4 linked regions of the Tamandua tetradactyla genome follow. The protein of the gene in region 1 interacts with the protein of each later gene in a pairwise test. Links are inferred from orthologs where the notes say so. Each region holds a gene or a part of one and is shown in the gene's direction. Other genes may lie near its edges.

Region 1 (7,982 bases):
TGGATGAATCTATTAAAAATTTTTTTTCTTAATTCAAACTGGAGTGTACACATCTGGTAAGTCACCTCAATGCTACACTTTCATGTAGTGATGACTTGAATTAGGGTATTTCTCTGACTCGTGAACAACAATAATGTATCTTTTCTGACCCAGTAATTTCACCTCAAAAAATCTACATAAGAAAGCAATTAGAAACCGGGGCCAAAATTTGGGTGGAAAGATGCTCATCAAAGCATCACTTAATCACTGAAAAAACGCAAAACTGAATTTTTAACAATAGAATGGTAAAATAAACTGTACACAATGGACTCTAAGCAGCCATTAAATTTTTCCTAAATTTTAAATATATACCCAATGACATGGGAAAATACCCTATAATGTCACAATTATGCCAGGTGCTGCTTATACGTATTACCACATTTAATCCTTACAATTAACTGTATGAAATAGGTGCATTATTATTATTTACTCTTCATTACAGATGAAGAAATGGTGACTCAAGAAGCTTAAGTAACCTGACACCATCACAGGGGTAGGGAGTGTCTGATTCCAAGCCTGTAGTGGTTAAGAGATCCCTACTATCCTAAGAGACTGCCAGAAGCTGCTCCCATACAAACTCCTTCACAGAAGGAGAATTACAGAGGCCACAGGACTTTCTGTTCATGGGGGATTCCTCTCTGAACATCCAGTCACCGAATTTGGGGCATCACAATACCGTCATTACTTCTGAGCTAAGAGCTGTCCTAATACTTTGAAATGATCCAAAGCTCATCACATACATTCTCCCCTCATAGAGAGAGTACATACTCATAATCTGAAAGGGAGAGCAAAGTCTCACATCCAAGCAAGTGACTTAGAATGACAACCTTTAGTATGAGGTCAAATACTAGTTGACTCAGTAAGTACTTTTTGGAAGGCAGAGCTGAGTGCACTAGTATGGCAGAAAAAGAAGGAACTGAATGGTCCAAGATGGCCTTACTTATACTTACGGCACTTGGTACTAGCTCAGCTGGACCCCTTTCTCTTTTGGGTCTTTCATCCTCAAGGACGTTAGTTCAAACTTCTTCATATGGCAGCAATATTCTGAAAGGGTGTGAGCAGTGGCTCTAAGATCTCTTGAGGCCTTGCTTAGAAGCTATGCAATACCACATCTACTGCATTCTCTTCGTCAAAGCAAGTCACAGAGCTAGTCCAAAGCAAGGGGTGGGAAAATACACTCCACCTCTTGATGAGAGGAGTTACAATGAATTTATGGCCATTTTATATCCACCATACTGTATATACTACCTGAATATCAGCCTTGTGCTTAGAAAAGAAGCCTGGAAGAAAATCAACCAATTATACAGATTAATTTTTGTAAGCCTTTTGTATTTCTACATATCTCAAAATTTAAAAATCAGTATGCATTACTTTTATAACATAAAGAAAAATATGACACTTTCCACAATAATTTAATGGAGCAGGCTGGACAGTTTCACTTTGGCATCAAAATGAACAGAGTTCCTTCTTTTCTAGCTCTTCCACTTCCTGGCTTTGACAACTTCTTGACCCCACTAAGCCTGTATTTTTCAACGGCAAAAATGGAGATAACTTTACCTACTTCACAAGATAGTTGTAAGGATCAAATAAGACAATGAATGCAAAATGCCTAGAAAAGTGCTTAGGTGTTTTTCCATCCCTTTGTACTCTCCCCTCACTAGGTCCTCCTCAGTTACAGTTCTTTTCCTCACGAAGATTAAGTTTTGTTGTAGTAAATTACACACATGTCTCCAAAATTAAACTGTATACCCTGAGGACTGGATTCAAAACTTAGTAATCCTCTATAACTTCAAAGTACCTAGCACAAGTCTGATATGTGCTCATTAAAACCTGTTGATTCGTGGACTTATTAACCAAATAAAAGTTTTCCAAATGCTTGGTAGTTAATCCCTTTTTATGCAGGTTTCAATATAAATCCTGGTATCAAGAGGGAGTAATGGTTCATCCCTACTGCTGCTATCTATGATGAAATTAATCTAAAAATCTCAAAAGCACAACTTGAATCACTGCCACGAAGAAAATTCAAATTACTTAGGATTCTAAGCTTCTACAGATGCACAGACACACTCACGATGGGATTTTTTTAGCCACGTGTTTCTCAGAATGGGCTTTTCTTGTCATAAGGACAAAGCGATGCATAAGAGCATGAAACTTAAACTGGAAAAACAAAATACATTAAAAGAAATAAGAATGCATTTTAATAAGACAAACACTATTCTAAAATACTAAACAACCCAAATAGGAAATGGTCTTTTTTTGCTCCAACTAGGCAGCCATCATTAGTGCTTAGTCATGGAGGTCTAACTCACTGTTATCAGTAAATCTGTAGTAAGTTCCCCTAAATCCTATAATATTTTAGACAGAAGCAGAGGAGGAAAGGGCTTCTGAATGGTCATCCATGAGGTGTAGCCCATAGTGTCAGGAAAGATCCTACCAGCAGTAGTTTAGGCAGATGAGAATCAATCCTATTTTTAAAGAATTTTGAGAAAGACATGTCACAAATTCCCATGGTGATTCACTGGGCGTGCAATCCTGGGAGGGTAGGATGAGAACATATTTTTGCCTTTTCTACATGCAGATTATTGCTAGCAAAGGCAGAGAATCACTTCTTGCATGTTAGGGTGGTCACTTAGTAATAGTCTGCCCTGTCATCCTACAGACTGAAGACACTGCAGGCCCCTTTTATGATTTTTCTCATTGCGAAAATCATCCTTTAACTCATGGCTGAGCCCAGGCAGGGCTGCTGGAACAGGCCTCTCAGCAGGGTCTGCTTGGAAAGGTGGGTGTGTAAAAGAAAACTCATTCTGCAGAGGCTCGCATTCTTGTTCAGTGAGTACAACCCAGAAGAAAACGATGCACTATGTTCTAGTTTGCTAGCTGCTGGAATGCAATATACCAGAAACAGAATGGCTTTTAAAAAGGTGAATTTAATGAGTTGCTAGTTTACAGTTCTAAGGCCAAGAAAATGTCCCAATTAGAGCAAGTCTAAAGAAATGCCCAATCAAGGGCATCTAGGGAAAGATACCTTGGTTCAAGAAGGCCGATGAAGTTCAGGGTTTCTCTCTCAGCTGGAAGGGCACATGGCAAACACGGCATCATCTGCTAGCTTTCTCTTCTGGCTTCCTATTTCATGAAGCTCCCTGGGAGGTGTCTTCCTTCTTCATCTCCAAAGGTCGCTGGCTGGTGGGCTCTCTGCTTTGTAGTGTTGCTCTCTCTGAATCTCTCTGAATCTCTCATTCTCCAAAATGTTTCCTCTTTTATAGGATTTCAGAAACTAATCAAGGCCCACTCAAATGGGTGGAGACATGTCATCCCCTAATCCAGTTTAACAACCATTCTTAACTAAATCACATCAACCAGGGAGATGATCTCATTACAGTTTCAAATATACAATATTGAATAGGGATTATTCTACCATTAAGAAATGGGATTTATATCAAAACATGGCTTTTTCTTAGGGGGCATACTTCCTTTCAAACCAGCACACACTAGTCCAGGGGTTCTCAAACATTTTGCTACCATGGCATTTAAAACCTGAGGGCCCCAAAGAGCTTACCTTTGAAAATTCTAGAAAACATAAGAAGAATATGCAAGCACATATTCCTTAGTTATCAGAGTGCTGATGACATCAAACAGCTGTGAATTTATACTTGTTTTGAAACAGAAAGTTAAAAAAAATTAAAGACGCACAGAGGATGAAATAAAGTTTATTTCCTAAATATAGGATTACATATTTTTAACTGCAGTTACAGAAGGAGAGAGAAATGGAGTAGAGGTAATATAGGAAGAGTTACTGCCTAAGAATTTTCCAAAATTAATAAAAGACACTAGTCAGTCGATTCAAAAAACTTAATGAATCCAAAGAAAAATTTAATTTCTAAAGATCTATTCCAACATCCATCAGAGAGAAACTGAAGAACACCAGATACAAATAAAAGACACAAAAATACTCAGCAGGAAAAAAAAACAGGTATTAATTTTAAAAGAGTGACAACGCACTTTTCAACAGCAATGGAAGGCAGAAAATAGTCCAATGATATATCACTATGTTGAAAGAAAATAACATCTAACCTCAAATTCTATAAGCAGTGACCAAAAAATCCTTCTAGAATTTTAAGATGAATTAAAGACATATTTAGACAAAACTGTGAAAGTCTGACAAAAGACAACGTTCGAAAGGAAATATAAAGAATTTACCTGAGGGAGAACGAAAGTGTTTCCAGCGGGAAGGTCAGAGATTTAAGAAGGAATAAAAGGGGGGGGTAAGAATGAAACCATTTTGTTAACTCTAAAAAAAATTTACAAGTATAAGAAAACAATGACTGAGGAACCCAAATAGCTTACCTTAGAAATTTCTAGAAAACACAAGATTATACAAGCACCCATTCCTTTAGTCATCAAAGGTATGACTACAACAGATCAGGTGGCGCCGGGGAAATTCCAGTGAGAGTAACAAAAAGCAAATGACGTCTTTCTATTACTATGAAAATAGTTTTGTCATCGTCCCGGGACCACACTTTGAGTGCCGTGCTTTAATTCTTCTCCAACTACCCAAGGCCAGGTCTCTTGGGTTTGCTTCACCGACTGCAAAGAAGGTTGGGGGCGACAGGGTGAATTCCTTTCTTCACTTTTGCAAAGGTTACCCCGGGGCGCACGAACCCCGTGGTCGGGTCTCGGGGAAGGTAACACACGGCACCACTAGAGGGCGCCGCCAAGCAATCCTTTCACCACCCCTCCGCCGCCACCCCCGCTCAGGCCTGCGGCGTTCACACGGTCCTCCAGACACCAGGGCGATGCCGGGAAAAGGGAACGGTGCCCCAGGGAAGCGGGAGAGGCGGATGGGGGGCGGGGCCGAGGGGCCGACCGCGGTCTCATTGGACGAGGTGCCTTCGCCTCACGGCCCTGGGCGGGGCTTCCTCGCGCTCAAAAGCTCTGCTGGTTCACTGCCGGGACGCGCAGTTTCAAGTCGCAGCTTCGCGGAAGCTCCCCCGCCGCTACCTTGGTTCGCTGGGTCATGGTGCCAGCCTGACTAGAAAGAGGAAGCTCCCGGGAGACGAATGAGGAACCACCTCCTCCTGCTGTTCAAGTACAGGGGCCTGGTCCGCAAAGGAAAGAGAAGCAAAAGACGAAAATGGCTAAATTCGTGATTCGCCCGGCCACCGCCGCCGACTGCAGTGACATCCTGCGGCTGATCAAGGTAGCGGGAGGCCAGGGACGCCTCCCGGGGCGAGGGTTGAGGCGGGGGCCGAGGGGGGGCGTCGCTCCGTTTCCGGGAGGGTCCGCGTTTCCCAGCCTGGGCTGGTGTCCAGCCAGTGCTGCCCCATTCTCCGCCCACCTCCCCCAGTCCTGGCCCGGCAGGACTCAGGGGGACGAATCGCCACCCCTCCCATCCCCGCCTCATTCACTGGTCGTCCGCCCTCCCTCGACTTGATCCGCCCCTCCCCGAATTGGCCGGAGCCTCACTTTGTTTTCTGCATCTCTCCCTTTCTCTTTTCTGCCTCGCCCCAGGAACTGGCTAAATATGAATACATGGAAGAGCAAGTACTATTAACTGAAAAAGGTAACACGGCAGTGGGGAGGAGGGGAGGAGACGAACGCCCAGTGCCGGGCACCCTCGCCGAGGCCAACACTGTCCCTGCTGCCCCTTTTTTCTTGCAGATCTGCTAGAGGATGGTTTCGGAGAGCACCCCTTCTACCACTGCCTGGTTGCAGAAGTGCCCAAAGAGTACTGGACCCCGGAAGGTATCCACCCAACCCCTTGCCAGTCAGAGACCGAGTGTTGTGTAAAACGTAGCGCCTGCTATGTAGAGCCACTGACTACACAGGTCGAGTTACTTATTGATAAGTCGGTTAGGAATAATAGCCAGCCAGTGTTGAGGAAAAAAGAAAAGAAAAAAAAAAACCGGAGATGTGCTGCACTTAATAATAGGGCGGGTGAAAGAGCTGTTTAAGTATCAGAGCACTGCGGAAACCCGCAAAAGTTAGGTATAATGTCATTTGTTGTAATTCCGTTTCATAAAATGGTTCTTGTTTGACCCTAACGTAACCTTTTTTTGTAATTGTGTTAAATCACATTTTTTTCTTTAATTTGTCCCAATCTTCAGGTTACAGTCTCTAGCTTCGCCATGTACATGGCCCTTCCGTGTACATGGATGGGCGGGGAGGTAACTAAAAGATCCTTTACACAATAAAGTAGATGATCATGATAAATGAGGTAAGGTCCTATTATCACACACTTAAAACACGGTAGATCAGAAACTCCATTACACTTGCTTCCTGTGCTTGCAAAGGAATATAAAATGGCTAGAAAGTTTTAATTTGAAACCTTTGCCTCCCTTTGGAGTTATAGACACCCATAAGAGGGAGTCAGATGTTTTGTTTTGTTTTGTTTTGTTGCTGGTCCCTGTTAACTGGTCACAAGACAGAGCTAAAAAGGGGAAGTTCTTTGGGTGGAAGCTTTCTTAAATGTTTTCTGAAGTTTGTTCCCCAAGCTAGAAGAAATGAGCAGAAAATAGGAGGGATGAAGTACTTTTTAGATGTGAATGTCAAAGCAGCTTTTTCTGGGTACCACTGCTGCTTCTGGCCTCAAAACTGGGGAGAACAAATTGAAAATGTGTGAATTGGAAGGCAAGTTTGGAAATGAAAACGTTGAGTTTTTGGCCTGATGTTCTGACCTTAAGGAAGCAGAGTTTCGAAAAGTACAAGTATTTACTATTCTGAACTGCCGTGTAAATCTGACTTACTTCAAGTCAACATACCAGTATATCAGTGGGATGTAAATAATGTGTGTGTTTCGTTTAAGACCCTAGCAGTTTAGCTCTGGCAAGTAATTAAAGCACTCTCACTTCCTGAGTGAGATCCAGCAGATCTCAGAGTGGCTAGTTCCCTGACCTAGCCTGGCTTCAACTAGCTTTAATGTGTGCTTTTGCAAATACATGTTATGAAAACAGTGAGATCATCCAACAGTGGCCCGGACTGCACTAGTATAAAAGTTAAAAGACAGTCCATTTCAGTGGCTACTCTTCAGTATTTATGCATGTATGTTTTTTTATACCTATGATAGGCTTCTAATTTTGCAGCTACAACTTTGATGGATTATTTTTCTTCTCCATTACTCATATGATACTCTTAATTGCAGGACACAACATTGTTGGTTTTGCCATGTACTATTTTACATATGACCCATGGATTGGCAAGCTATTATATCTTGAGGACTTCTTCGTAATGAGTGATTATAGAGGTATGGTTGAGTTTGGGGCTGGGTCAGGGGCAGTTCTAAGGGGAAATTTAGGGCTTTAAGTCCTTAAAATGACTTTAAAATTGTATTCTTTCTTTTAGGTTTTGGCATTGGATCAGAAATTCTAAAGAATCTAAGCCAGGTATGTCTTAGTTTTGGGTTTCCAAATTAAGGGTTACTGGATTATTTTAATGACTGAATCAAAATTGGGTCTTGGAGAGCAGATAAGATGTCACTGAGTTTCTATATTACTCTCTCTTATAATAGGTTGCGATGAAATGTCGCTGCAGCAGCATGCACTTCTTGGTGGCAGAATGGAATGAACCATCTATCAACTTTTACAAAAGAAGAGGTGCTTCTGATCTGTCCAGTGAGGAAGGATGGCGACTCTTCAAAATTGACAAGGAGTACTTACTAAAAATGGCAACAGAGGAGTGAGGAGTGCTAATGTAGACAATGACAAGTTCCATTCTACTTAGAATAAATTTTCAACCTGTCTTGCTTTCTATCCTGTTTGTAGTAGAGTAATAGAATGAGCACCCATTCCAAAGCTTTATTACCAGTGGCGTTGTTGCATGTTTGAAATGCAGTCTGTTTAAAATGGCAATTGTGTATGCAGTTTGGAGTCATAGTTTTCCTTGAACATCTTTTGATTAAACAAGGTGGTGTGATCTTAATATATATGAAAAAAACTTCACTCTTGTGA
Region 2 (7,640 bases), on another chromosome or scaffold:
TGGAATATTATGCAGCTTTAAGACAGAATAAACTTACGAAGCATGTAATAACATGGATGAACCTAGAGAACATTATGCTGAGTGAGTCTAGCCAAAAACTAAAGGACAAATACTGTATGGTCCCACTGATGTGAACCGACATTTGAGAATAAACTTGGAATATGTCATTGGTAACAGAGTCCAGCAGGAGTTAGAAACAGGGTAAGATAATGGGTAATTGGAGCTGAAGGGATACAGACTGTGCAACAGGACTAGATACAAAAACTCAAAAATGGACAGCACAATAATACCTAATTGTAATGTAATTATGTTAAAACACTGAATGAAGCTGCATCTGAGCTATAGTTTTGTTTGCTTGTGTCTTTTGTTTTTTTCTTTTTCCTTTTTTATATATATTTATTAATTATTATTATTTTTATTTTTTTCTCTATATTAACATTCTATATCTTTTTCTGTTGTTTTGCTAGTTCTTTTCCTAAATCGATGCAAATGTACTAAGAAATGATGATCATACATCTATGTGATGATATTAAGAATTACTGATTGCATATGTAGAATGGAATGATTTCTAAATGTTGTGTTAATTTCTTTTTTTTAAATTAATTAAAAAAAAAAAAAGTAAAGAAAGAATCATCCACAGATGCGGAAACCAGCGTCAGAAACAAGCTTTTTCCATAGTGTGAAAGATATGTTTTAAATACAAAGGGGCAAAAAAGTCTTTTCCTTCCAGATTGAGCAGAGACACAACTTAGCTATGGCCACCAGACACAGGTTCATTTCTGTGACATCCCTACCCCAAATGCACACACTTAATCTAATCACGGATGAGCAGCAGGCCAAATCGAAGGGCATGCTATGAAACAACTGGCCCATAATCCCCCAAAACGTCAGGGTCATGACATTTTGCGAAAGCTGGAGGTACTGTCCCAGGGTGGAGGAAGCTTTGGGGACTTCATGCAGTCCTGGACCGAAAAACAAAGAAACAAACAAAAAAGTGTTTTCTTTTGTTGTGAAAGATGTCAGAGGAATTCTGATGAGGAATTCTGAACATCTGTGGGTTAGACAAAATATTGCATCAATCTTCATTCCTGGTTTGGAGCACCATGCAGTGTCATGGTGACAAATATCCTTGTTTTAAGGAAACAGATATTGATGCCTTTGGAAGTGACAGGGCTTTGTGGTGGCAACTTACTCTCATATGTTCCTGAAAAAAGAACTAGAGAGAATGATAAAGCAAATATGGTAAGATGCCACAATTGGGGAAAGTGGGTGAAAGGAACATAGAAATTATTTGTGTTGTTTTGCAGCCTTTCTCTAAGTCTGAAATTTTTTCCAATTAAAAGGTAAAAACAGACAGCCTAGGGGTAGGGGAGGTGGGGAGACTGATGGAAGCAATCAGCACCAGGCACAGAAACATCTGGCTTGCAGCCTTCCCAAGTATTCCAGGGAGGGTTGGAATTCCCTGCAGGCTTGGGGGCTGTGGGGGTGCAGCGGCTGGGGAGGGAGCCCAGGGGGGGGCCAAGTTTACAGAGGAGAAGTCTGAGCCCCAGACCTGGGCCACAGGTGGGCCAGGGAGGGGGTACCAGGTTCCCTCTTCCGAGGTCCCCTCCTAGACCTCAGGCAGGGGACAATGCCCCCTCAGAGACACCCACACCCTCATTCTCACGACCTGGGAATATGGCGAAAGGGGTTTTGCAGGGGCCCCCGAGGCTTTTGACTTAGAGGTGGTGGGACATCCTGGGAGAAAGAGAGGTCGGAGGGACAGGAAACATGAGCAACTTGGCTGGCCGCCGCTGGGTTTGCACGCAGAGAAAGGGGGGTCACAAGCCAAGGGAGACGGGGGCCCTTTAGAAATGAGCCACCCCAGCCAACAGCCAGCAAGGAAGTGGGGCCCCGCGGCCACAAGGAAGTGGATTCCGCCAATGCCCTGGAGGAGCATGAGAGCGATTCACCACCCTGAGCCTCAGAAAGGACCAGGGCCCCACGAACATCCTGATTTTGGCTTGTGACATCCCAAGCAGAGACTCCAGCTCAGCGAACCCCACTTCTGGCCTACAGGAGTCTGCGATACTACACTTGTGTTGGGTTAAACAGCTAAGTTTGCACTACCTTGTAACAGTAGCAATAGAAAATGGATACAGTTATCTTGCCGAAGTGGGTGCAACAGTTTCCTGGGGCTGCCAGCCCTGCAGAGAAGTGGTGAGGAGGCTCGGCAGACATCCATTCTCCCCCAGCTCTGGAGGCCAGAAGACGAGATGCCGGGGCTGGGGGGAGGGGAGCGGGTTCCCTGTGAAACCTTCAGGGAGAAGCCTTTTCCTCTTTGGGTACTCCTGTGTGACCTCATCTTAACTGGTCCCATCTTCAAAGACCCAACTTCCAAAGGTCGCGCTCATGGGACTAGGGTGAGGTCTTGAGTGTGTCTTTTCAGGGTACAATTCAAGCCACAACAGTGGATCTCCCATGCTCCCCAGATGGTTCTGGAATGAGCGGCTCCTATTCCGGAACCACTGGGCCATCCTCCAGGCTCTGCTATCTATTTCTGTTTGTTTGTTTTGGTTTTTCTTTTTGCATGGGCATGCACTGGGAATCAAACCCGGGTCTCCGGCATGGCAGGCAAGAATTCTGCCTGCTGAGCCACCATGGCCTGCCCCGGGCTCTGCTATTTTTCTGGGCGGAGTAGGGCGCAGCCTGCCTGCCCACCACCCACCCTCTGTCGGGGTCCTAGAACGGGCAGGGCCGCTCACCACCATGCCCAGAGGCCCAGTCTTGGGACGCTTCCCCCCTCCCCCCCCACCGAGTCCCCTGCACTCCTGGCAGAGGGATAGAAGCCACTGGCTTCTCACACACACCGTGAGCTGCCTGCAGCCTGTAAGTGCTGGGCCTGGGGCTGTCCTGCTTTCCAGGTCTCCCACATCCTCCAAGGCTCGATGGCTCAAGAGAAGCTGCCAAGGGTGGGCCCACGGTGGCTCAGTGGCAGAGTTCTCGCCTGCCATGCCGGAGACCCAGGTTCGTTTCCCAGTGCCTGTCCATGCAAAAAAAAGAGAAGCTGTCGAACACCAGCAACCAGACTGGCCCAGAGAAATGCCAGGGCCAAAGGGCAGCCCTGTCTAGGGGCAGTGCAGGGAGCCCAGTGCAGCTCCCCCCAACCCCCAGCCCCATGCTCCCCTCCCCTGGCCAGCGGGTGTTTCCCCCAGTGACCCTGGAAGAATCCCAGGCTTGGCTCCCAGCGCTGGGGAAATAATCTATTGATAGGGCAGGCCTGGCATAGGGAGGCTGGCACCATGACAAAGAGGCACGGGGGCCTCCATTCCTGGTCTGTTTCATGGAGTGTGTGTGTGGGGGGATCCTCAGACCCCAGGCCCAGAGGTGGGCTTTGTGTCTGCCCTTTGCGAGGGCAACTCCCGGCCCTGCCTTCCCTCCCCTCCCCTCCCCTCCCCTCCCCAGACCTGGTTTCCAGAGAAGCATCAGCAAATGGGATTGGCTGGGTTGGAGAGGTCAGGAGCCCCCTTGGGCTGGGCCTACTGTCTGGATGGGGGGGACAGTCACTCCTGCCCCTGGTGAGACAGAGTACCACCCCAGGTCTGGGGAGGCAGCCTTGACCCTGGACTGTCCCTCCCCCACCCCAATGCCCATCTCCTTCCCAGCCCTCCATCCTCACTGGAGAGTCGCCCTGAACCCCCTGACCACTTCAATTGCTCCTTTCGCCTCCATCCCCACCTGGAAAGGTGGCCTGGGCTCCCTAACAGTCCCCAGGCAGCCCAGCCTCTGTTACCCATTCACAGCCTGCTCCTTGCACCGCCATCTCACGGTACCATTTGTCACAAAACACCCATCACTGTTTGCCAAGGACCGGAGGGGAGGGCCTGGCTAGAAGGGGGCCCTGGGGCGCATATTTTCGGTGAAGGGAAGGTCCCTGTCCTGACAGGGATAGGGTGGTCTGCAAACACTTGGGAACTTTAAAGTAAGAAGGAGCATTTTTCTGCCTGCCAAGGACGTCTTAACAGAAAGGACGGGGGAAAATGCGCGCACCCGCAGGCGTCCACTGTCCCTCCACCCCGGCTCAGGAGCGGAGCCAGGCCTGCGGCTCCATCCAACAGGCTACCCTCCCAGGCTGCCGCCAAGCGCCCTTCCCTCGCCCCAGTGCCCCGCAGGCGGTCCCTGCTCATCCGTCCTCCCCCACACCCACCACCGCGTCCCTCTCCCCACAGGGGCCGCCGGGGCCATCTGGAAATGTCCTAAGGGGCGAGGGGCTGTCACGCGCTGGCGGAGCTCCTCCCTCTCCTCTCCCGCGGGGACAGAGCTGGGGCGTGCGGAGCCCGGGAAGCGCGGGGAGCCGAGGCCGGGCACCTCCCTCTGGCTGAGTCCCTCCCGCGCGCGCCCCCGCCTAGCGGTCGGCCGACAGAAAGGCGCGCGCGCCGCCTTTAACGCAGGCGGGGGCGCGCGGGGGCGGCGGGGGCGCACACAGCCCGCTCGGGCTCGGAGGCGGCGCGGCTCCCGGGCGGCGGGAGCTGGCACCGGCCCGCATGGCCAGGGCGCCGTGGCCGTTGCGGCTGGGCCGGGGCTGAGCAGGGCCGACGGGACCGAGCTGGGCCGAGCGGGGCCGTGCGGGGTGAGCCCCGGGCCCCGCCGCAGCCCCCGGCCCGCGCCCACCATGCGGCGGCTGCGGCGCCTGGCGCACCTGGTGCTCTTCTGCCCGTTCTCCAAAGGCCTGCAGGTAACGGGGCGCCCGGCCCCGCCCTCTCTGGCCCGGAGCTCCCCACCCCCACCCGCCCCACCTCCCCGCCCCCTCCAGCCGCCGGCCCCCCACCCGGGCCGTGCGCCCCCGGCAGTGCAGGCCCGGGTCCCTATTGCGGCGCGCTCGGGCCGCGCCGGAGACCCCAGTGGTTTCGGCAGCCGTGGGGGTGGGGCCCGGCGGGGCCGGGGGTCACTGGTGTCAGGACAAAAGGGGTTAATGAGGGCTGGGTGTGGGGTAGGGCGTTGGGAGACGGCTCGGGATTCCGGGTGCCTAGGGGTGGTTGGGGAGGGGGGGGGGATGCCGCCTGCGGATGCTGCGATGGCACGTCCCTGCCCCTGGGCGAAAGGAAGCCCCCCCCCCCCACCTCAGCAGGGCTGGACCCTGCTTCCTGAGGCCCCACACCATAAAAAAGAAGTTATTGCCTATATTCCCTGCTTAAGAAAACAAGGTTTTTAAAAAAAGGCCCTAAGAAGGACCTAGCAACCCCGGCTCCATCATCTGACCCGGCTTCCCCCCAGCTGACAGTGTGCAAGAGTCTGCCTTGCCCCCCACCCCACGGTGACCTTGAGCAAGTCACCTTCCCTCTGGAGGCCTGGCTTCTGACTGCCCCAGGGTTCCAGCACCAGGACTCTTGCTACCCTGTGCTTTGGGGTGATCCCAGAAGGGGCCCTCCCATGCCCTACAGGCTCAGGGCCTGCCATGAAGGAACCAGCTCTGGTCGAGCCCACCCACCTTCTCAGGCAGCCAGGGCTGTCCTGGGGTCAGGGCAGGAAGGGCCCTCCTGGACTCATGGCCTTTGCCCAGGACCCACCTGGCCTCACAAGGGAGGCAGGTGTGGGGCCCCGTGTGTGCCATGACTTCCTGCCCGCAGTGGAAGGCTGGTGCCAGGTCACTGAAGGTCCTCCCGCCCTCCCCACACCTGCTCCGCCCCCCACCCCCTGCCCGCACCTCCCCCCCTCCCCCCACCCCCCCACCCCTTACCGAGATGAAAGGGAAGGATGGTTAAGTGTCGCCGGGGCACAGTGGGGTCCACCCAGGCCTGGCAGGGCAGGAGAGGAATTGGGGTGTGGGGGTGTGGCGGTGGGGTTCCTAGTGGAGGTAGGCCAGCTGGGAGAGCCCTGGGTGAGCCCCACGCACCCTCCCTGGTGACCTTCAGAAATGCTCTGAGCCTGTTTCTCTGTCTGCGAAACGCCCTTCTGGCCTGGTGGTAAAGGTCCAAGGCCATGTGCCTGGGGGGGCCCCTGGCCCATGGTCCGAGGTCCCTGAGCGGTAGGTATTGTCCGCGGGGTCTCGGCCAGGAGCTGGTTCCATCCAGCCTGCTGCAGAGCCCTGGGGGGCCCAGGCTACCAGCACCAGCAGTGGCCCCCCCAACCTCCAGTCAACCCGACCACGGGGGGGGGGGGGGGCGTCAGGAACCTGGTGGGTGGGGTGGGCAGCACCCTGCGAGCACCAAGGGGGCGTGAGCCCAGTGATAAGACGGAGCTGGGTGGACCAGCACCCTGTGGGTGGGGGGTGGGCAGTGCTGGGTGGGGCTCCTGGGGGAGTGCCCCTGTGGGACAGACACCTGGAGGGGAAGTCCGAGCCAGCCGGGTGGGGATGGTATTCCAATATTCTAGGCAGATGGCTCTGGACCCCCAGCCCCACCTTTTGGACCCCCCCCACGAGGTTCCCACCACCTCCCACTGCAGCCTCTGGGCATTGTTCCCCACCAGCCGGAAGTCCGACCTCATCCTGCCAAATGCCCCCCCCAACCCTCACCCCCCTTTTCTCTGCTTTCCTGTTTTTTATTATGAACAATTCTGATGGAAACAGAAGAGGGGCCGGGGACTAGAGGGCCCGAGGAGGTCCGAGGGGGGCTGAGCCTCACCCATCGCTGCCACTGAGGCACCCCTGGCCCAAGGCCGCCCAAGCCCTTTCCCTGGCTGGTGGGGTCCTCCCCGGGCCCTCCCAGGGCAGCCAGCAGTGTGAGTGGGGTTGGGGCAGCAGGAGGGGGACATGTCCTGAAAGAACCTATGAAAGTGATCACAGCCACGGGGTGGGTAGGGCCGATAGGCCCTTTGTCGGCCCTGTGGGGTCCCCCAGACTCCTGCCTGGCCCTGCAGCTAATAAGGACGGAGCAAGACTAGAGCCCAAGCCTCTGACCCCGCACAGCTGCCCAGCTCCATTGAGGCTGAGGTCCCAGCAGGGATCTGCTGGCCAGGCCCCCAACAATCAGCCACGGGGCATAGGGGGGCTTCTCAGGGGCTAGCTGTGCAGCTGTGATCCTGCCCTCCTGCCCTGGGCTGGTTCCTTTTCTCTGGGACCCTGCTGGGGGTCCCGGAGGGCTGAGCCTTTGCTAGGGACCAGCCAGTGATGCCTCAGACCTCTCTGATTTGCCAGAGCACAGAGGGTGGGGCAGGGGGGCTCCCAGTAGGCCCCTGGCTGTACCGTTGGAATTGGGCGCTGGGATGGAGACAGTGCCCCCAGCCCATCCACACCAAGAGTTGTCACTCTACATGACAGGTGGGGAAACCGAGGGCAGGGTCTGAGCCCTTCAGGAACCTGGAGACTCCAGTGAAAACACAGGCTCCCAGACCCCCTTCCTGGATACCTGGGTGGCCCTCAGAGGCTCCGGGGCCACAGGTTTCTGGCGCTGGTCCAGCCGGAACATTCTTCCAGGCTGCAGCACAATGAGAGAAGCGCAGACTGTGTCACGGGGTGTGCAGACCCTCCCGACCGGCCCTGCTTGCTTGACTTCAAGAAATACTTTTATTAGCAAAGTAGAGAGCTGGCACCTTCTGTAGCCCTCACTTGAAATCTATTTGTACTTGTCCGTGAAATCCAGATGTCTGGGAGGCGCCAGATACTGCTTCGAGGCCCTGGGACCCTGTGGGTTCCCCGGTTCCAGGCTGACACCCATCCCCCA
Region 3 (7,192 bases), on another chromosome or scaffold:
AGCTAAGGGTCACAGCAGAGGCTGGGCTGGAAGCAGTAGCCAAAGGCCCTAAGACGGGTGAAGCCAAGCAGATCTAAAGTAGTCCCTGAATGGCATCCAATACATTGTCCCATCAGCAAGAGTCCAGGACTGGGCTTGGCGGTGATGAGCCAGAACCAGACCACATGGAGGCTTATCTGTCCTTGATCTGGATGATTCTGCCAACACAACCCCAGGTCACCTTGACTGATAAACCTTGACTCATAAGGAGCTGGTCATCGATGAATCTACACACAGCTTTTCATCTCATTATTATATTCAGTATATAGACAATCAGTTTCCTTTTTAAACTGAAAAACAGCATTCCTTATTTAACTTGCTTAAATCTCCTCTTGTTGATGGTGACCCTCTTGCTTTAGCAGGCCAAGATATTTTGTACCTTGGTTCTGTCATCTGGGGGATGAGCTCATTCTTCTCGGGTCTGAATCACTTCCAGGGCCCACTAGGGCAGTGAATGTGAAACAGTTGTGAAATTACATAGAGATGACAAATGGCAAGTGAGGGAAAAGGTAGTATCAATAAAGGGTCTGTTCTGACCTAATTACTGCTGAGGGCAGCTGAGGGTTCACTCTCACTGGGACCCTCTGCTGAATCACGTAGAATGTCCCACCAAAGGATGGCAAGCTGGAGCACCTGTCCACCCACTCCCCTCTACCCTTGGTTGAGGGTTCATTCCCTGCATCTGTAGGGAGCCCCTGGTTGCTCAGGCTGAAGAAACCTCTGCAGCTCTGGAGAAAGCCCAGAGATAGGGAAGCAGAGAGGAGGGGCTGGCAACATGCATGGAGCTAAACACAGTGAGCCTAGGGGATGTGGCATGGGGTACCCCAAGAGTCACTCAGAGAAACTGTGACTGTGGTGCCGAGAAAGTGTTTATATGAGAGGCACTATGATGGCATCAATTGCCGGAGGCTCCTTCAAGCCTCTGCTTTCACGCCTTTGGACAGGAGACTTCAGGAAGCAATGTCCTAGCTCTTCCCCAGGTCAGACGGCCCCACCCACCCTCGTTTTCTCTCTTTGGGGCTTACAGGACTCCTGGGGAAGATTGCTGGAGAATGTTTGCCTGGGGTTAGAGGAACGGAGTGAAGTTCCATGAGCACCTGCAGACGGGGGCAGTGGCTGAGGGTGGTGGGGTGTCAGTGGTTTCAGAGCTCAGCTCCCTGCAGCAGTGAGGCCGAGATGCTGGCAATGATAATCAAGCAAGTATCTACTCATCTATTACTCCGATGAATCCCTGAATGTTGGTGAAGTTACCTAATGCCCACACCTCACTCTGAGATGTTAAACAATTTGTTTGCTAATAGGATTCAACAAGGACTCTGCCCAGGAAAGTTAGAGAAATATTTTCCCTCCCCTGAAACCTAAATCTGGTTTGAGACCACCTTTTAGTTAAAAATTACTCTTTGCTTTGGAGTTGTGATTGTCCTTTTCTGCCTAATATAGGAGTCGTCAAAAGGCTTTGCAGACCACCTACAGTCTCTGTCACATCTTATTTCTCTCTTTTTTTTCTACTCTTTAAAAATGCAAAAACCATTCTTGGCATGTGTGCTGTACAAATACAGACCATGGGCAGCCCCCAGGGCAGAGTTTGCCAACCTCTGTTTCTAAGGGATTGTTCACAGGAGCCAGTGGAATGCCCAGACCTGATATTTTCTTGGGGAGGGAGAGGAAAGACAAAGGTAGAGAAAGGAATAGGACTTAGTTAAGTCTAATGGAGCGATTCAAGTCTGAATAGCTCAGACCTTGGGGGATGTAATCCAGTCCCTGAGGTTGCCTTTTCCTGGGCCAGGGGACCACAACAAACCATGTGGGTGGAGTGGAGGTTTCTGTACAAATTAAGAAATAGATATTCCCACTGCTGAGGCCATAGAGTGAGAAATGAGACAGCCTATAGACTGGGGTATACAAGTGGACTGTATTTACCTGTAGTACAGTCAGCAGAAAGAACCCACACAGTCATTTGAACAGGGAAAAGTTGATATAAAAAATTACTAACTAGGCCGGTGCAAGGGTAGTTCAGTGGTAGAATTCTCGCCTACCATGCTGGAGATTCCCGGACCATGGACTTCCCTCCCACCAAAAAATAAATAAATAAATAATAAAATTAAAAAAATTACTAACTATAACAGAGGATTGGAATATCAAGATATTGGCTAGTAAGAAGTAAAAAGAACACCAAAAAAATAGGAATTCCAGATATAATATAAAACATAACATAAAATAATATAATATAGTTAATGCAAGATAAAATATAATATAACCACTAACCCCTGGAACTGAGATAGAGGGCCCAAAGAAGACACCCTCCCTCCCTACCCCCACCCCCACCCCACCTCCTTTTCCCAGGTCTGAGATCCAAACCTTGCTGTAGAAGGCAGAGAAGTCACTGTGGTACTGTGCCAGCGGAACTTGCTAGAAATATGTCCTCTGGAACTTTCCAGGTATTCGCCCTCTAGGTGTCAGCGAGAGCTATCCTCACTGGAAGCACTCTGCCACAAAACCACCTGCGAGGGGTGCCTGAGGAAGTTGCTGGCTGCTGGGTGTGGCCAGGTGTTGCTGGCCACTAGGCACAACAGGACCTGGACACTGGAGAAGCCACTTGTGCTGCAGGAACTGGGCGCTGGGGCAGCTACTCCTGATGCACGAGCACCGTGCTGCAGGAGGAGACCAGGAAGGAAAACCTCTTCCTCCCGCAATGTCTCTCCAGCGCCCTCTACTGGAAACAGGCTTTGGCTGAAAGGAAAAATCCTTAAAGGGCCCAGTTACATTTTCACAGCCAGGAAAAAAGGATGCATTTGGAGCCAAGAGGCTCCAAATAATTAATGACAGATTAATGACAGATATAACAGGAATGCCTCCTTTCAGGGAAGAAAAGGATTCTGCTGGACCCTAAGTGGGGAAGATACCTCCTTGGTGGGACTTTCATTCCCATCTGGGCTCATAGAGGCTTTCTGGTGACCCCCAAGGGCCAGAGTTTGGATTTAAGAGTGATATTTCTGGGGATCTTGGTGGAGTCACGTATAAAGTCACAGCTGGGCTTGAACTGTCCTGTGGAAACTGTGAGTAGCAATCCCTGGTAGCACCACTTGGGGGTGCTGTGCCCAGTAGGGCAGGAGTGGGGGACTCACCAGAATTAAGGGCAATATCCTGGTGAGCAAAAAGTGGAGGGGCCCTTGTGAGGCCAAGTCTCAGGAAACCATCAGAATAGTGAGGGAAGAGAAAAGGCTCATGTTATAATCATGTAAATATAAAAAGGAGAAGATAATTAATTGGCCTAAGAATGGAGAGACACGGAAGATGCATTTAGAAGAGAATATCATACGGATCAAAACTATCAGTTCAATTATTATTGAGGGAAAAGTTTCAAATAATTTCTTCCCTTCCACGTTTCCGTAATTTTATTTGCTACGGCTATAATCCAGACTCAGACCAATAACTTTGGCGTTCCTCACCCCAGTCTACAATAAAAACCTGAGAAAAGAAAGTTTTCCTTCAATCCACCTTTCCAATTGGGCCAGCAATGAATTCCTGTGTTAACATATTTTAACATTCGCATGCTGAAAGTAATTTATTTGCTTTATTAATAGCATTTTTCATTTCTCAAATGATTCACAACTGAATTCCTTTGAAAAGCTCATTATCTTAGTGCCTAAAATGGTTCCAAAATTTCAGGAAATGGGTATTAAATAAAAAGCAGTGCAGCAATCATTAGAAACGGCATAGCTGCATGTAAATATATTCAGGAATTCAGAATTTTCACAGAAGTTAATTATAACTAATTACTCCCTTGCACTTACCTAGGCCAGTCTTTCTTCAAACCAAGAAAGTGCCCTTGGTGAGATTTTAGAGACAACAGTGAAGTCTCAGTCCTAGGAGAAAGCAGGCAGAGACAAGACCTGGTTTTTGCCTGAAGTCCACCATGAAGGCTGAGCTCCTTTGGTTCAGGGCTTTGATGGTTCTTTAAAAGCCAATCTCTCCGGTACGAATAAAACTACAATTTCTTCCCAGATAGTTACACTTCAGTGCCTGAGGTAATTAATTGTTCCTCTGAGGGATTTGGGAAAGACATTAGAGGGCTCCAACGAAAACCCAGGGGTGAAGAAGGACGCGTGTGTGTTTGCGCGTGCGCGCGTGCGCTGAGGAGGGGTAGCGGGGTGTCGGGGCAGGGGTGAGGTGTTTCAGTGGAAGCCCCTGTCCCTCTCATTCTTGACTTCCTCAGGGCCACATACCCAGTGCCTGACACATGAGGGCGCTCCATAAATACTTCGTGAATGAGCCTGGCTGCACCGCGCGCCGAGCGCGCTGTAAAGCGAGGGTTGGGACTTGCTTAAGAGAAAGCTGAGTTAGCATCCTTGCGCCCACGCGCGAAGGAGGGCACACCGGCGAGTGGAAACAAAGTCCCGGAAGCCGGACACCACAGCACACCCCCGGCGGGCCGGAGGGGTCTCGGCCTAGGGAGAAAGTAACTCAGGCAGGTATGCACGCGGAGCCTCACCCTACCGGGACCGGAGCCGCACGGGCTGGGGTCAAGGGTCTGGTTGGACAAGAGCTAATGACTGCGAGAGCTAGGGCCCCGCGCTGTGCAGAGGCCCCGGGTGGAGGTCTCAGACAAGGGGGCAGCCGTGGGACGTGGCGCTGTGGCATGGGGAGGCGCGCGGCCGAGTCTGCAGGGCCTGCTGCCCCTTCGCGTGGCCCGGGCCACTTCGCGCGCGACCGAGCTTTGCGGGGCGCACTCTCCCGAACCGCAGGCGGCGCCCGCAGCCCCGCCCGGTTTCTCGTCCTGCCCGGGGCGGCCCCTCCTTCTGCGGCGCTGGGGATTTTACTTTCATTTTCGGTAGAGCGGCCCCAGACCCTCGCTCCAGAGGGACGAGGAGGCTGCGAGCTCCGGCCGTCGGGACCGTCGTGGGAAAGGTAACTGCGCCTCCCGCCTCCTCCCGCCTCGGCCCGCGCCTCTCCGCGGCGCGCTTCCTCCCTGGCTTTCCCGCGGGGTTTCTTGCACTTCCCCCGCCGCTCAGTGCGCCGGGTGGGGGGAAGGCGGCCCCGACGGTAGGCGCTGAAGCTTCGGGGAAGGAATCTTCCGCGCTGCGGCGTCGCGTACTTTGTTAGCGGATCCTCCTTTTCCTCCTGGCCGGGGACTTGGGACACCCCGTACGCTCGGGATCTGGAAGAGGAGGAGCTGGTTATCTGTCAGGGCGGTTAACAGCGAGGGCTCCGGGGTCAGAAAAGCCTAGGTTCCAGTCCCCTGACCCTCCCTGTGCTTCGTAAGACTGGTGATCCCGGGCTGATGCGGAAGGATGTGATTTGGTGCATTGCTAAGTGCACTCCAACTACTGCCATTGTTGGGTAACCTTTCTGCAGGGCCCATGGAGGTGTCTTGGGGAGGTGAGAAAAGGCAGGCGATATGGACACTCAGGCTGCAGGGGACCTTGGAGGTGTATGGACACTCAGCCTGCAGGGGACCTTGCAACCCTTACGGTTGTATTCAGCTGTGCGGTTTTATTGGGCAGGAAAATTGCCTCTGGGTAGTTCCAGATTAGTCATTCCCATTCCTTTTCCTTGGATTTAAGAGCAGCCCACAGTGGCCTTTAACCTTTATTTACTAACAGGTGGTTTCCCCCTTCAGGACCTTCTAGACAGCTCAGGCCTGACCTTCCTTCTCCGTGCTGCTGCTCCTAGATTCATAGTCCATCTTTGGCCACCGGTTAACTGTGTGGCTTTGAGCCAGTCGCTTAACCTCTCTGAACCTCTCTGAAGAAACCGAGGGGTAAAGGCTACAGTCTTCTAGTTGTGATGAGGATCAAGGAGACAGTGGAGCATTTGCCTGCCCAGCAGCCCTCCCATGGTGCTAGAGGTGAGAGGAGGAGATCTTCAGGGCCTCTATTCTTGAGCCCTTTTGGGAAGATTGCCTTCATTGGATCAGGAAATGGGATGCAAATCATATTATATGACCTTTCAGGAGAAGCAGCTGCAATGAGCCCATCCCCTGTCTCTATTTTATATATATATGTATAAACTTCGCTTCTCTGTAGCCAAGTCCAAATGGCTAGGAAGGATGTATATAAGCTATGCCCATGCTTTAATAGACCATTTCAGACACTGGGCCTGGAGCATGCCCTGCCTTCCAACTCCAGACAGTGACTGGGAAATGATTTCCTACCCACAATAAATACTGGCTGCCCCAACATGTGGGCAGTTATGAAGCATATCCCACTCACCACTCCTGGGGTCTCAACCACCCTCCTGGGTTTCTTTTAGTTCTTTTGTCTGCTCTGAGTCAGCAGTTTATTCAAGACATTGAAGGATTTACAAATACATTCCAGGTATAAGATTTATGAGGTAGTATGTATTGAGTGCCTGCCCTGGATCGGGCACTTTTCCATGACTGGGGATAAGAAAGATGGTTAAGATAAACATTCATTCTGCAAAGAGCTACAAACCTAATGGATAAATAGTGGTGTTAAAAATAGCAGCAATAACTGAGTGCATACTATGTGCCTGCCACTGTTAGAGTTTTATGTATAGCATGGTCATTCATTTCTAGAGAAGAGGGATGGGTTGATTATCAAATAAGTTATCCTCCAGTGACTACTTTTTGAGGCATGGACCCTAAGAAGGGGATAGATACAGAAAATGACACCAGATGAGGTCCCCTGCAACATGGTAGAACTGAGAAAGGCCTAAATTTTCTTGGTGTTTTATGAGAATGAGCAGAAATAAAGGGTCAAAAGCAGATCTTGGTTCTCGCAGCCTCTTCCTTCTTGGCTAAAATGATGTGACCGACATCAGGCACCCTACTCGGTCACCATCCTGGGCTCTGAATGTCCTTTGTTTCCAAAAAGCACACCTGGTCTCATAGGAATGAGAAAATGAATGCTTAGTTTCACAGATTTAAAAGAATAAAGTACCCCCACTATGGAGCTGTTTTAGAAATTCTCTCTGGCACATTGTTGGAAGGAAAGCTTTCTGCGCACACACACACACCCCCGCCCTCCCCCAGACAGTTTTCAGTGTCAACCTAAAGAGATGCTGTAGGTTTTAAACAGAAGATTCTTAGAGCCTTGAGTTTGGAGGGAAAGTTCTGGAAAGCCTCCTACCATTTGAGCCATTATAATCAGCCTGAACTTTGCTTCTCTGTAGCCAAGTCCAAATGGGTAGG
Region 4 (7,703 bases), on another chromosome or scaffold:
TCTTGTGGTCTACTTGGGCTGCTGACTTCTCCGTCCTTCCTTTCACCTCTGACATCCTGGGAGGGAGGTTTGGCAGATTTCATTACTTTACAGTTAACACCCCCACTCAGGAAGTGTGGAAGAACCGAAGTTTGAACTGGTGTGCAGATTCGATGTAATCCCTGTTTTGGAGGCTATTTGTGTGAAGGCTGAGGGTTTGGGGGACTTGATTTCCTCTCCGTGGAACAAGTGTCCCCACACCTTGCTCCTTTCCAAAGTGGGTCTGGACACTAGTCTTGGGTCAAAAGAAATAACTCTGGGTGCTTGGGAACATAGATTTGGGGACTTTTCTAATTTTTTGTACCCAGGGGTGATTTTGCATGACACAGTTATGCGAGGGTTTGCACACCGGCTTGTTTCTCCCCGTCTCTCCTCCACACTTGTGTGGGACACACGCATGAACAGGTTACAGTACCTAAACCCCCGTGCCCATCATTACCCTGAAATGAGGATCAACCGATGTGAACGGTCCCGGCAGTTTTGGGTAAGAACGTACGGAAAAAGATGTCATGTTCGGCCAAAAAAAAGTCATGAAATTTCATGACCTCTTCTGGGCCAATATATTTCCTTCACCATCTGAAGAAATGTTTGGAGAAGAAGTTGAATCAAATCCAGATTTGTTACATGTATTTTTCAAGGTTACAGTGTATATCCCACTTGATTATCAAGCCAAGGGCCAGATTTTCAAGTGAGGCTTCAAATCAACTAAGATTTTACAGGCGCAATTCAAATACACATATACCTAAGTTTCTTGTTCTCTCCATAGGTGTTATGGTTATAAAAATGGACAAACAAGTTCTTTGGGTTATAGATTATATATGAGCAGAATTGTAAACCCACATCATTCACAGGGGTTATATGGATGATTAGGTCTCATAAACGGATGCTCAAGCACGTCCAGTATTATAGTTGGGTAGATTTATTTATTATGTATTCTCTGCATAATGTAGAACACAGTGCCTTTGCACACTGGTTCCCCATAAAGAAATATTTATTTGAAACATATGCACAGGACGCACACATCTATTCAAATACAGTATGCTTAAATTTCAGGTTAACATATTAATTAAAAACAAGCTATTTTCTCCTTTTTCCCATTTATTACTCTTGTTTTCCATTTTTCTTCTCTCTTTCATCTTCCTTTCCTCTAGATTTTCTCTTTCTTCCCGAGTAGTGACAAGAACCCTTCCGAAAGCCGCCCCACCTCAGTCACTCACCAGCTTGTCCTGGCCGGGGTCCGCCTCTGCTCTCCCCACCTCGGCTTTGCTTTTGGCTGCTCTGGGCCCCAGTGAGACCAGGGAATGTAGCTTTTCCCTTCCTGTCCTTCCCTGAGCTATTAGCTCCAGTTGTGCTCAGGCGCGGCTGCTGCGCAGGAAATGGCAAGAGGCTGGGAGGGAAGGCAGGGTTTTCCTTCTCTCCTCTTTAGGACTGGGGGTGGGGTGGGGGTGGGGTGGAGATGGCATGGTGACCCCCATGGAAGTGACCCCCTCGCTTAAGCAACTTTAGAAGTCAGGCTCTAGAGGCTGCAATCCTGTTCCCCCTTCTATCATGACAGATACCATTGTCTGGGGAGAAAACAATATCTTTGGGGAGGGGGGTCCACAGGCCCCCAGAGCACCCCAGGAAAGAGCCTCCTTCTCAGCCTATCCATTAAAATATTTGCCAGAGATGGAGCTGAGCACCAGCTTCAGGCAGCAGTGCATTTTAGGAGGCCTGGTTGGGCTGGGAAACATTACTTGGTGCATCTGCAGCCCCACCTGGAGGGAGATGAACTGGGAGTGGGGGGAGAGGGCAGATTCTAGGGCTTGGGGGCAGTTAATTCTCTTCCCTCCAGTCACCTCTCCCGAGAAGACTGAGACCTTCAAAACCTATTATTCTGAAATTGTTTCCACCAGCCAGCTTCTGCTTGTGCAGAGGCTAAACTCTGGTCTCAGAAGAGAAGCCAGGATTCCTTCCTCACTCAACACACAGGAACCATCAGAGGTTAGGGGCAACTCCCTGGGCAGTCAGAAGCCCACAAAATCTGAAATCTGTCTGCTGGAACATTTCTCCCTGGTAGGTCACAAGCCCTAAGCCGAAACGTCCTTCTCTTCTAACCACTTCCCTAAACTAAGTGGCTTTCTTGGCTCCCCTTATTACAAAAAGAGGTGGCTGGGAAGCAAGGGCTGGGGACTCAGAGAGTGGCTGTCAGAGCCCAGTGCCTGCCCAGCTTTGGTCCTAAGAACAGCCCAGTGCTGTGACTTTTCCATAAATAAAAAAGGACCAACCCACAGTTCACATGTCCTTTTGGGCCCTAATTTATATACTACAGAAAATCATATACTCAGCCCGCCATGCTTCATAACACCGTTATTTATGGGGGGTGGATTTTTTTTCTTCCTAAAGGATATATTTATTACAGGTAATGCCGACAGCTGACTCCATGCGTCTGGCAAATCAAGAACAGGTGCTTTGCCTTAACTGTGATTCATTCGTTCTGCGCCCAGCTTTCTCGCTGGCAGATCTGGGGAGCTCCCCCGACTTTCCCAAGCATCCAACCGCTACTTAGAAGAATTTGCATGGATTTTTTGTTTCCCCACTTGAGTCCCATGGAAAAAAAAAACAGATCTTCACGCTGTTTGGTTCTGGATCTGCTGGGCTATCGCCCTCGGAGAGCGGGGGTGAAAAAGGAGGGGGCCGGCTGGGTGCCGGCATTGATCTTTAAAAAATCATTTTGAAATCGCCATAATGTGAAGAAATATGGCGCTTCGCCCTCGTATTTCACACATAATGACACGAGATGGCTTCATTTGGAAAGAAAAGCTGGCGGGAATGCGTCTGTGCGTGTGCGGAGGTGATCTGCAGCTTTCTGCATGGCCGAGGGGTACGTGGCCAAAAAAGATGCAGCCCCAAGTTAGAATGGCCCCTGGTTTTGTTAAAGGGACGGGGCTGGGAGTAAGGCTGGGGCTTTGGGAGCTGCCTTCCGTGTAACAGCCCAAGGTCAGAGAACTGCGAAAGAAAATGAGTCCCAACCCAACCTTTCAACCCAGCCGAGGGGAACTGGGTCTGTCCAGGGACTGCGCCTCCCATACACCCCTAACCTTAAGAGGCGGTGCACCAGAGCAGGGGCTGGGAGAGAAAATGGCTGGGAGATGAGCCAGGAAGTCAGCCGGTGTCCTCAGTGGAGTCCGAGCACAGGGCCGCATAGTAGATGCCAATAAAACCCGTTATTTGAAAGCACCACGAAGGGGGTCCGCGGGCGCCCAGGCGGCAGGAGGGCAGAGGCTGTGACCCAGCCATACTCCTTATCTACCGCTGGTGCGTATACGGGTATTTATAAATCGGTTCGGAGCTGCATCCCCGCCAGGGCAAGCGAACCAAAAACTCGGCCTTCTGCCTTTCCTCACTGGGTAGCGGTGGGGATAACTCGGGACCCCTTCCCATGCTGGCTGGGTGCCCTTTCCCATGGCTCCACTCAAGTGACACCTCGGGGAGGTCCCCTTAACCCTTTCTCACGTTCAGCTCCACCATCTGGGCAATTTTCGGTTCTGGCAGTTACTCAGTTAAGGAAGAGAGAAACGGCTGGGCCCCACGCCCCCCGTCCATCCCTCTGGCCAGCGTCAGAGACTGGCCCAAGAGATTTAAAGGAGCGTTTGGCTAGTTGTATTAAACTCTTTGGAGGCTCAAGTTTCCAGGCCTTGATGAATCCCTTTAACCTCAGTCAGGTTCTAATTTCAGGATAGATAGCGGATCCCGGGCACCCACCCCTTTTTATTCCCCTCTCTCCTCCCTCAGCTACTGAGGGGTCAGGGAAAGTGCTGAGAGCAAGGCCTGCAAACGTCCAAAAATAGTGCACAGAGAGCTCCCTCCAAAGCTGATAAAGTCCCATAAAATCTCAACTTCTCCCCCATCCCCTTTACTTCATCTCTAGTGGATTGCTGCTGCTGCTGCTGTTGTTTAATAAACATCTTATGTCAAGGGGACAGAGGAGAGGAAACGCGGGCCTGCGGGATGGAGGGGGGGGCGAGACCACCTCCTCTTTAATTATCCTGACGGGCTTCTCTGGCTGCTCCTCTGGCTCGGGCTCTCTCCCTCCCTCTAGCCCCTGCGCTCCCTCCCTCCGTTCCTCCCTACCCGACCCGCCTGGGGAGAGGGCTCCACAGCCTGCGTCCCTCCCGAGGCAGCCCGCTGCTTTCCCTCCGCCTCTCCTCCGCCCCCGCCGCCCCATGTCGAGAACTGCCCCCCCCTTCCTGGAAAGGGGGGTGGGGTTGGGTGGCAACCAGGAGGCCGGCAGCTCGGGCTGAGGTTACGTGTCCGCCGGAGCCCTGACGTGATAGCACATTGCATCAGCATAAAACAATCCATCCTCGATATGGAATGCGGTGCGGACGGATGACAGCGAGAGCGCAGCCCCCTCGCCCGATTGATTTATGTCGGAGCTGACGCTTTATCAGGCAGTCGGAAAAACTTTGACCAATCATTTTGCAAGGAGCGCTGAGCCAGGCTGCTCCACTGTACTTTGTTGGCTGAGAAGTTGATCAGGGGGTGGGGGTGGGAGGGTGGGGGGCTGGGGGGGGGTCGCGTCCGAAAGCCCTCACACCGGTCCGGGTGCCACCTCTCCCTGCTTGGGCGCCGCCGCGCGAGCGCTTCCCTTCCCCCTGCGAGCGCCCGGATAATGTCTGAGAATGTCCATTTCTGGGACGCTTAGCAGCTATTATGTCGACTCGATCATAAGTCACGAGAGTGAGGACGCGCCTCCAGCCAAGTTTCCTTCCGGCCAGTACGCGAGCCCGCGGCAGCCGGGCCACGCCGAGCACCTGGAGTTCCCCTCGTGCAGCTTCCAGCCCAAAGCGCCGGTGTTCGGCGCCTCCTGGGCGCCGCTGAGCCCGCACGCATCCGGAAGCCTGCCGTCCGTCTACCACCCCTACATCCAGCCCCAGGGCGTCCCGCCGGCCGAGAGCAGGTACCTCCGCACCTGGCTGGAGCCCGCGCCGCGCGGCGAGGCTGCCCCGGGGCAGGGCCAGGCAGCCGTGAAGGCGGAGCCGCTGCTGGGCGCGCCTGGGGAGCTGCTCAAACAGGGCACACCCGAGTACAGTTTGGAAACTTCGGCGGGCAGGGAGGCTGTCCTGTCTAATCAAAGACCCAACTACGGGGACAATAAAATTTGCGAAGGAAGCGAGGACAAAGAAAGGCCGGATCAAAGTAAGTTATAAAAAGTGAGGAAATACCCAGGCCGAAGGCCAGGCCAGGGGGAGGGGAGGGGAGGGGAGAGGCAATAAACTGCGGACAATGTGAAGGAAAACGCGGCGGTGGCCGGAGAGCGAGCGGGGGAGGAGGGAAATGGGGGGAAGGAAGGAAGGCAGGCAGGTAGGAAGGAAGGGAGGGGAGGAGGAAGAATAGAAAAAAGCGGGCAGGGAGGAAGCTGGGCGCCCCAGAAGAGAGACCGAGGCCACTTGAGGGGCACCGCCCCCACTCTTCCAAGTCCTGGAGGGAACTGGGGCGCGGGGACCAACTCGCTGCTCTCTCGCCCTCCCTTCCCCCTCTCTCCCGGAGGCCCCAGCTGAAAGCCCGGGAGGAGGCCGGCGACGGTCGGCAGAGGAACTGGCGGGGGCCGGGGCGGTCTGCCAGCGAGGGCGAGAATCCGCGCGGCGAGGGAGGGAACAGGGGAGCTGCTCGGGACCGCGCCGCTGGCGGAGCTCGCTGCGCCACGCGCAGACCGTAAAAGCCGGCCAAGGGGAAGGGGGAGGGGGCTCATTAGGATTTTATTTGCGATGCAACAGCTTGGCCGAGGATTGTTCAGAGCAGATCTTGCGCAGTAGCCGAGCGGGTCCCGAGCCGGCGCCGAGAGGGGCGGGGGCAATCCAGGACGCAGTGACTGAGCCCTCTCCCTGGATGCGCCGGCCCCTCCCCAGGAGCCTTCCCTCCGGTCGCCCCCTCCCCTCCTCGGCATCCTCGCCCGGGTGGCCGCTTTTCTTTCTGCGGCCCCGGCTGCTGTCCACGGGGCTCCCTGGCCCCAACCGGGGCTGTCCGTTTTGCGGGGAGTGGGGGAATCGCTTCGGAACTTCGGGGCTGACCGCGGGAGTGAAGGAGAAGAGATCCCGAAGGGCCCCTGGGGAAAGGAGGGGTGGAGAGGAAGACGCGATGCCGAGAGGCAGAGGCGAAGAACTTTATCCTCTGTCGGTAGTTTGGTAGTTTCTCGTCACCTCCCACTCCGCCAAGAGCACCCCTGCCGGGACCCCAAGTCTGGCTAATTTCCAGGAAGTGGTGCTCACAGAGAGGGGAAATCGCGGTTCTTTTCTTTTCTTTTTTTTTAAGGTTAAGAAAGGCACATCAGCAAAAATTTTCAGCCATTCCAACTGCCCCTCTGAACTCCTCCCCTCTCCACTTAGATGAGATAGCCCGGAATTTCTATGCCATGTCAGTCAGCGCCTACACTCCCTGACAGGAAAGAAAAAAAAAAAAAAAAAAAAAAAAAAAAAAAAAAAAAAAAAAAGAAAGGCACATCAGTTAGGGACTCAGCTTTGAACAATAACCCGCAGGCTGGAGGGCACAAGTCAACCCTTTACTCTTCTTGGGCAGTGAGAGGCAGATATTTTAGCCTCCACTTGCCCTGCCAGATTTCCCAGTGACACAGTGGCCACTGGCTCTTTGTGGAGTCCTTGCCTGCTGTAGGGGAGGACTGTCCAGTTCCCTGAGATCCCCGCAGGGTCCTGCCTCCTCACACCTGCCAGGTTGAATCACAAGAGCTGGCTTTTGGGGGGATGCGGCTCTTCCCAAATCCTCCCGCACGCACGGGAACAGACCCCACACCTCAAACCCCGGAACTCTGCCTGGAAAGCCCATTATTGCAAGGCAACTGCTTGGCTAGGATCAATTATTAACAGATTTTCCCCCCTCTTTCATATTTAATGTGACTGCGGGTCCCATCCCAGACAATCACATTAAGGAAATAGCGCTGCAAATTGGTAAGACACGGTACTTAGTGTAGGATGAACCGGGTTATTATTACTTTTTTAAATAGTCAATGCTTTTCATTTGGGGAGAAGGAAGCTAACAGAGGGTGGCTGTTATTTTTAATTGGCTTGGTTTTTAATTGGAGAATATTCTCAGTTCCAAGGAAGGGAAGAAGGTAAGAACAAGAAGTCTGTACAATTTTTACTTCTTCCTTTCTTCCCCTCCTCCATTCAATTACCCCTTTCTCTGCGCAACCCCCCCCCCAACTTGGGGCCAGTTAAGGCTAGGTGGGATGTGAAGAGCTTTCTCTTAACTCCCTATCATCCCTGGCTCCCCATCTTGGGAATGGAGCAATCTTGCTCCCCAATTTCCCTGAACTTGTATTAACCAAACTGCGAGCTGAGCAGGCATGGAAGAGGAAAGACTATTACAACCATAAGTTATCTGTGAGTCCCTGGTGCTCCCTGGCCCATAGACTGGAATTGATAAATGGTTGCAATTGGGTTGCTTGTGAATTGGAGTGTGCTGGATGTTTGCGTCTCTAACTGTGGACTTATATTTGCGGTGTGTATGTCGGGGGGAGGTGTCTACACAGACACAACGCCTGCTGCCATGTGGCCAAGCACCCTGGTGATCTAGGCAAGGTTGTATGTGGACTGAGGGACTTGGAGGTCTCTTGGTTGTGGCTGAACAGAAAGCTCCCCTCAACCCCTTCTCTCATCTCCCATATC

The links.
Region 2: the proteins of SAT1 (region 1) and DIPK1B interact in binary tests that used the Homo sapiens proteins (3 or more experiments, as listed by UniProt). The two-hybrid records come from large-scale screens. The link is inferred for Tamandua tetradactyla from reciprocal best matches to the Homo sapiens genes SAT1 and DIPK1B.
Region 3: the proteins of SAT1 (region 1) and CASP7 interact in binary tests that used the Homo sapiens proteins (3 or more experiments, as listed by UniProt). The two-hybrid records come from large-scale screens. The link is inferred for Tamandua tetradactyla from reciprocal best matches to the Homo sapiens genes SAT1 and CASP7.
Region 4: the proteins of SAT1 (region 1) and HOXB9 interact in binary tests that used the Homo sapiens proteins (3 or more experiments, as listed by UniProt). The two-hybrid records come from large-scale screens. The link is inferred for Tamandua tetradactyla from reciprocal best matches to the Homo sapiens genes SAT1 and HOXB9.

The regions. Positions count from the first base shown.
Region 1 is NC_135353.1:150,556,243-150,564,224, reverse strand, and holds the start of SAT1 (diamine acetyltransferase 1), read left to right. Parts: upstream 1-4,970; 5' UTR 4,971-5,170; coding exon 5,171-5,236; intron 5,237-5,547; coding exon 5,548-5,599; intron 5,600-5,697; coding exon 5,698-5,781; intron 5,782-7,177; coding exon 7,178-7,279; intron 7,280-7,377; coding exon 7,378-7,418; intron 7,419-7,543; coding exon 7,544-7,714; 3' UTR 7,715-7,982. UniProt on the Homo sapiens protein: Enzyme which catalyzes the acetylation of polyamines. Substrate specificity: norspermidine = spermidine >> spermine > N(1)-acetylspermine. This highly regulated enzyme allows a fine attenuation of the intracellular concentration of polyamines.
Region 2 is NC_135328.1:126,292,892-126,300,531, forward strand, and holds the start of DIPK1B (divergent protein kinase domain 1B), read left to right. Parts: upstream 1-4,637; 5' UTR 4,638-4,651; coding exon 4,652-4,714; intron 4,715-7,640.
Region 3 is NC_135339.1:75,620,136-75,627,327, forward strand, and holds the start of CASP7 (caspase-7), read left to right. Parts: upstream 1-4,191; 5' UTR 4,192-4,511; intron 4,512-4,815; exon of another isoform or gene 4,816-4,947; intron 4,948-5,659; 5' UTR 5,660-5,875; coding exon 5,876-5,887; intron 5,888-7,192. UniProt on the Homo sapiens protein: Thiol protease involved in different programmed cell death processes, such as apoptosis, pyroptosis or granzyme-mediated programmed cell death, by proteolytically cleaving target proteins.
Region 4 is NC_135332.1:29,880,686-29,888,388, reverse strand, and holds the start of HOXB9 (homeobox protein Hox-B9), read left to right. Parts: upstream 1-4,703; coding exon 4,704-5,220; intron 5,221-7,703. UniProt on the Homo sapiens protein: Sequence-specific transcription factor which is part of a developmental regulatory system that provides cells with specific positional identities on the anterior-posterior axis.